Linked DNA regions of Saccharomyces cerevisiae S288C. The protein of the gene in region 2 interacts with the protein of the main gene of each other region in a pairwise test. Each region holds a gene or a part of one and is shown on either strand. Other genes may lie near its edges. The genes, in order: GSP2 and CLP1.

Region 1 (3,388 bases), 120 kb from region 2:
TTATACGATATGATATGAGACGTTCTAATTACAATACGATACCGTGAGATAAAAATAGCGATATCCTCGTACTCAAAGAAGTCTAATTGTTTTAGCCCGTTGATCAAAAAAATAAAATGTATTTTTATTTTTTTGTCATCCAGCTCAAGATCGTAATATTGGCAATTAACAACCGAGCGAGGCACAGGGCAAAGAGAATGTGGGTGAGACTGAACTATCTCTCCCAATATATTATACTTTTTTTTGTCGCGTCTACCAATTAAATGAAAACATAATTGGGAATACTTTCCTCTTCTTATATTTTATCTTAACTCGTTTCCGATCTTCTGATATTCTATTTGTATATGAATAAGAACATTATTGTAATCGAAAGAAGTATCTCTTTTCAAGAGGATTACTTTTCATTGAAAACTTTTGGACGGGCAAAAAAAAAAAAGCGCCAGCAGGAAGAAAAAAGGAATCTAGTAAAAAATAAAAATTAGGTTTATAAAGTAGTAAGTGAAGTGCAAGAGGGAGCGTTATTGGACGATCATATTGTGATCGGATCCCGTTTATTGGTCTTTGATTCAATTTAAAAGAAAAGAAATGTACAGGTTAAACTTCAACATACCAAAAAAAAATTACAATGTGGCAATTAAACAGAGAAGAACTAATTCTTTAAAAATAGACTTTCAGAACTATATATTAAAAATAAAAGAAATTTCAAAAAAAAATTTTTAGATTGATGTGAGAAGAAGCAGAATATTTTCGTATATAAATTTTCATGTTTTTATAAATCAGCATCGTCTTCATCAGGTAATGGTAAAGCAGTGGCTTGGTCCATTTCTTGCTGGTATTGGTGCATTAGTTGCTCGTCAACTTGCACCTCAGGTGGGGCCAATGCAGGAGACGCAACAAACTCCAATTGTGGGTTACCGGCAAGTTTTCTAGCCAACCACAAGAAAGGCTTTTCAAAATTATAATTGGATTTTGCAGAAATGTCATAATATTGTAAGTTCTTTTTTCTATGGAAAGTGATAGTCTTGGCCTTGACCTTTCTCTCTTTGACATCGACTTTATTGCCACATAGCACTATGGGAATATTTTCACACACACGGACTAAGTCTCTATGCCAATTAGGGACGTTCTTGTAAGTGATTCTGGATGTGACATCGAACATAATAATTGCACATTGAGCATTGATGTAATAACCATCCCTTAACCCGCCAAATTTTTCTTGGCCTGCGGTATCCCAGACATCGAACTTAATTTCACCGAAATTAGTATAAAAAGATAGAGGATGAACTTCTACTCCGATAGTTGCAATGTATTTTTTTTCAAATTCACCGGTCAGATGTCTCTTCACAAAGGTAGTCTTACCAGTACCTCCATCACCAACAAGAACTAACTTGAAAGTGGGAACCTCGGCATTGTTTTGAGCAGGTGCTGACATTACGAACTTATATAGGTAGTCACAGGTTTATATCTTTATTGTGCTTAGCCGAACACTTACTTTCTCTCAAATTCCATCAAGAATTATTGTTTATTCCTCCAGAAGAGATCAAGTACCATTTACACTATTTTTTGTATTTAAGGGGTGGCAGAATTCAGGATGCCACATGCGGCTTTTAATGATAGCAAGCTTATACAGCGGAAGACAAAAAAACGGGTAACTGACATTGTATATATTCACCTTGAAAATAAGTGCTAACGCCATGTAAGGGTATGGCCCGCTTAAAGGGCAAGTTCACTCCGCTCAAGATACAAAACTGAAACGATGAAGAAAAAAAGAGCATCTTGACCTCCCGTGACTCATTAAGACCACTTGAGACCACTTGCTCTATGTGTATCAACCTATAAACTGTATATCTTTTGCATTTTGCACCTCCTTAAGGAAAGAAACTCCCTTCGAAAGTATTATTTCCCTGTGGCCCCTTACTTCTCTAATTGACAAGACAGAATTTTCTCGATAATTCCCTGGATAAAGTGTCAGTTTATAGAGTAGATCTCACTTGCCTTTTGACTGCTTCCGCAAGCAGAGGGATCGTAAGTTGTACACACCATTGCCTTGGCTATTACCACCACAATGTCGTGGCAATAGCGGAACCGTGCGGATGTAGCCATTGCTGCAAGCGAAAGCGCGGAGGTTAGCGGCAATGGCGTTCAAAACGGGATGGCTTCTTCGCCAAGTACACGGAATAATATCCAGATAGAAGTATTTTTGTGCGGTAAAGGGTACCACATCTGCAGCAGCGCAATGAAAATTGCGTATCAACAGCAAAAGAAATACTTAAATAGCATGTTTAGCACTTTTGATATAAAAAGGGGCCGCAAATGTTCTGGCGTATTACTGTTTTTTCTTGTCAAATGTGTCACTAAGCAAGCAACTTGTAATCAAGACCTCAATTCAAGGTTAGTTTACTCCTTCTCTCAAATACTACGTAACAGATCTTATTGATGACTTTGGCTTTTACGACCTTCGCTATTTCCAAGATAAACAATTCGTCCACGAATGAAGATTCTAAAGTCATGATACTGTGCGATGAGCATCACCCTTTCGAGAAGGGTTACTTTAAGTCCGCCATACGAGCCTTCGGCAACAGCATTAAGCTAGGATTAATGGGTAACTCGCGACCAGAAGACGCAGCGTCCATATTCCAAGATAAAAATATTCCTCACGATCTGACGACGGAAGAATTCAGGTTGCAGCTGGTCTGTATGGCTTTTTCCTGGTTCATATTTGGTCTCTTCATCGCCTGCTTACTACTTTGTATCACGCTTGTGCTAACATCGCGATATCCTGGAGAAAATGAAAACAAAGCCACGGAAGTTGTGCCATCCAGTAATATTGACGACGAAGAAAAGCAATTATCGCTTTCCGACATGATTTAGTACTACGTGGAAGAAAGGAAAAGAAGCTGCTTTTCTCATTTAAAACATTTAGTTTATATACTTCGCCTCTGGAGGACTTTTCAATTTATGCAATATGTGAGCACTTCTCTATTCTCGATTAGGTCTCTGATATATACATATACATAAACATAAAGCAGTAAGTTGGGTCTATTATACTGACAACCCTGTTACCCGCATTGAAATTGACAGGCTGCCCATTGATTGGTCAGTTTCCCACTAACCCGCGCTGGAGCTGATTTTTCATATTTTTAAGGATTTTGTTTTAGCACCCATCCGACCTCAGTCAATATATCCTTTCGCGACCAGGCTTTCCTCCCTTTTGCTGCTAACTGGTTACAGATTTTCCTATTTTTGGTCATTTTTATCTTTGAAACTGATTAAGCTGAAAAAATTTGAGCTTCTTTGTTGTAAACTATTTTGTGCTTTCAGTTTTATTCTAGCTCGACAAAGGTAACAGACAAAAATGTCAGCTTTATTACCAAGATTACTCACAAGA
Region 2 (3,815 bases):
TTTTCTTTGCTTTTTCTACTATAATATACATAAAATTATATAAAGAGCATATAAACCATAAAGATTCCTCTGCGACACTTCTTATTCATTTCCTCCAACGACTTGTTCACCTTTATCATTAATTCTGATCAATCTTAGAGTATTCAAAAGGCCAAAAGTGCCATTCCAGTTTCTTAGAAATTCCATATTCTTCGCATCACTCAAGTCTGGACAGAGAAACCCCGCCTTAAATTCTTTTAACTCTTGATCCCTCCTTTGTTGCAGTAGCACTTGTCTATTGCTTGGTGGCCTGTTTGACCTCCTCTTCTTCTTGAGTTCGTCTAATTCCGTATCATCTCTTTCAATAAAACTTTGAATAAACTCTCTTGTGTGGGCGTGATCAAATATTGGTTGCCCTTTGAATGTATCAGAGTTAACTACATCCTGCATAAATTTTACCCGAGCTAGTTCGTGGACTCTTTTGTCTTGATGAAGCTTCTTTTTGGCTGCGATTTTATCTTCACGCATAGTAGCCCTGACCAGCTTTTCATACTTTCTACCCTTCGGATGAACCGTGATATTTTTCCCTTTCTTGGATAAGTTCTTTTGCAACTTAGATAAAGATTTAGTAACCGGCATGATTAGTTTGTCGTGGTAAGTCCTGTTCCGATACTTTTCTTCTTAGAAAGTACCTTTAAAGAGCTCATCTCTCATCTCGTCTATTAAACCATTTTAAAATTTTCGCTCGGGATGTTCAGCTGTGTACAATAATACAGCGTAAGTGCATTCAAACAATGAGGACAAAAGCATAAAGTTGTGAAGAAAATTGCCCATACATTCAATGCCATTATTTGATCTTATTTCTCCAAAAGCGTTTGTTAAGTTAGTGGCCAGTGAGAAGGTTCATAGAATCGTTCCAGTTGATGCAACATGGTACCTACCCAGTTGGAAGCTTGATAATAAAGTGGATTTCTTGACCAAACCACGTATACCAAACTCCATTTTCTTTGATATTGATGCAATCAGTGACAAAAAATCGCCCTATCCACATATGTTCCCTACAAAGAAGGTTTTTGACGACGCTATGAGTAATTTAGGAGTTCAAAAAGATGATATATTAGTGGTTTACGATCGTGTTGGTAACTTTAGCTCCCCTAGATGTGCTTGGACATTAGGAGTGATGGGACATCCTAAGGTGTACTTACTAAATAATTTCAACCAGTACAGAGAGTTTAAGTACCCTCTAGATTCCTCTAAGGTGGCAGCGTTTTCACCCTATCCAAAGAGTCATTATGAGTCCTCAGAAAGTTTCCAAGACAAGGAGATTGTAGACTATGAGGAAATGTTCCAATTGGTAAAGAGTGGGGAACTGGCTAAGAAATTCAATGCTTTCGATGCAAGGTCGCTCGGTAGATTCGAAGGTACAGAACCAGAGCCTCGTTCCGACATTCCATCGGGGCATATTCCAGGTACCCAACCATTACCATATGGAAGTTTACTTGATCCGGAGACCAAAACGTACCCAGAAGCTGGGGAGGCGATACACGCTACTTTGGAAAAGGCATTGAAAGACTTTCATTGCACTTTGGACCCAAGTAAACCAACTATTTGCTCTTGTGGAACTGGCGTTTCAGGAGTCATTATCAAGACAGCATTGGAGCTAGCAGGAGTTCCCAATGTTAGATTATATGATGGATCCTGGACCGAGTGGGTCTTGAAATCCGGGCCCGAGTGGATTGCTGAAAACAGAGATTAATAAGAGAAATATATTCTTGACAAGTCGATTTATTTAGCTACATATATTAATTATCTATCTACTTACTTAAAGGGCGATCTCCCTTTCTTTGTCTTATTTGTGCTCTTCATTGTTATTGCCCGGTAAAATAGAAAATAACAGCAAAAAATAAGACTGCTGGCAAAAATGAGCAGAGACCTTTCTATCGAGGGAAAAGAACAAACTATTAATTCTTTTCGAAATTCCAACACGATTAAACCATCATGGCAAGTCTACCTGGTATTGATGAGCATACTACCTCTGAAGAATTGATAACTGGTGATAACGAATGGCACAAGTTGGTTATTCCCAAGGGCAGTGATTGGCAAATTGATCTTAAAGCAGAGGGAAAACTGATAGTCAAGGTAAACTCGGGCATAGTTGAGATATTTGGCACCGAGTTGGCAGTAGATGATGAGTACACTTTTCAGAACTGGAAGTTTCCCATATACGCTGTCGAAGAAACAGAATTATTATGGAAATGTCCTGATTTAACTACGAATACAATAACTGTCAAGCCTAACCATACTATGAAATATATTTATAATCTACACTTCATGTTGGAGAAGATACGAATGTCTAACTTTGAAGGCCCTCGAGTGGTGATTGTTGGTGGTTCGCAAACCGGGAAGACTTCCCTATCGAGGACACTATGTTCTTACGCTTTGAAATTCAACGCTTACCAACCACTATACATCAATCTTGACCCTCAACAGCCCATTTTTACTGTTCCTGGATGCATATCTGCCACCCCAATATCAGATATACTTGATGCACAACTACCCACTTGGGGTCAGAGTCTCACTAGTGGTGCCACACTACTACATAATAAGCAGCCAATGGTGAAAAATTTTGGCCTGGAAAGGATTAATGAGAACAAAGATCTATACCTTGAGTGTATAAGCCAGTTAGGTCAAGTAGTAGGTCAAAGGTTACATTTGGATCCTCAAGTCAGGAGATCAGGGTGCATTGTCGATACGCCATCAATATCACAACTGGATGAAAATTTGGCTGAACTGCACCATATCATTGAGAAACTCAATGTTAACATTATGCTAGTACTATGTTCTGAAACGGATCCTCTTTGGGAGAAAGTAAAAAAGACATTTGGTCCAGAATTGGGAAATAATAATATTTTTTTCATTCCTAAATTGGATGGTGTATCCGCAGTTGATGATGTATACAAAAGATCCTTGCAGAGGACATCCATAAGAGAGTACTTTTACGGCTCTCTTGATACAGCCTTGAGTCCTTATGCTATTGGTGTTGATTATGAGGATTTAACTATTTGGAAACCTAGCAATGTTTTCGATAACGAGGTCGGTAGGGTGGAACTGTTCCCCGTCACTATAACTCCAAGTAACCTACAGCACGCTATTATAGCCATAACGTTCGCAGAAAGAAGGGCAGATCAGGCAACAGTAATAAAATCGCCTATTTTAGGATTCGCTTTGATTACAGAAGTTAATGAAAAAAGGCGTAAATTAAGGGTTTTACTACCTGTCCCAGGCCGACTTCCCAGCAAGGCGATGATTCTAACTTCATATAGATATTTAGAGTAAGTAAAATTATCTGTTCAAGAGCCTTATATCAAATCCATACAAATATCGTACTGTACTGTCGAAGTATTGTTTGGGTGATTTTTATTTTTAATTTTTCCAACGCTTATATATTAACAATATTGCCAATTTGTGTCTTTGACATTATTTGCGCTAGCTAAAAAACTGCTGCAGTTTCATCGAGGAATATAAAAAACGACGAGAGTTAAAAGGAAAAGGCAAATCAAAACTGATCAGAAAAATGAGTAAGTATGGTCCATTGGGTATTACTAACTTTATTACTCCGTACGATCTATGCATATTAATCCTAATACATGCTCACTGCTCACAAGATAATGGCATATCAGTGCCAACAGCAGTATTTCTTCGGTTAATATCCCCTACTAGACCTTCACTAGAATGGAATCCTCTGCTCAAGGATAATAGTAATTTAAGATCTTCATCTATTGTTCCTCCTCCTGTACTTCCTATTCTAGATAATATAATAAGGATACTGTTAGATG

The links.
Region 1: the proteins of CLP1 (region 2) and GSP2 interact in a two-hybrid assay, tested with the Saccharomyces cerevisiae proteins (one study listed by BioGRID).

Annotation. Positions count from the first base shown.
Region 1 is NC_001147.6:680,675-684,062, forward strand, and holds GSP2 (Ran GTPase GSP2), read right to left. Parts: upstream 1,433-3,388; coding exon 770-1,432; downstream 1-769. Other genes in the region: YOR186W (uncharacterized protein), read left to right, coding at 2,437-2,871; TUF1 (translation elongation factor Tu), read left to right, coding at 3,356-3,388. UniProt on the Saccharomyces cerevisiae protein: GTP-binding protein involved in nucleocytoplasmic transport. Required for the import of protein into the nucleus and also for RNA export. Not essential for cell viability.
Region 2 is NC_001147.6:800,470-804,284, reverse strand, and holds CLP1 (cleavage polyadenylation factor subunit CLP1), read left to right. Parts: upstream 1-1,977; coding exon 1,978-3,315; downstream 3,316-3,815. Other genes in the region: TMA16 (Tma16p), read right to left, coding at 82-618; TUM1 (thiosulfate sulfurtransferase), read left to right, coding at 821-1,735; APC5 (anaphase promoting complex subunit 5), read left to right, coding at 3,554-3,815. UniProt on the Saccharomyces cerevisiae protein: Component of the cleavage factor IA (CF IA) complex, which is involved in the endonucleolytic cleavage during polyadenylation-dependent pre-mRNA 3'-end formation. Associates with HRB1/CF IB to form the cleavage factor I (CF I) complex.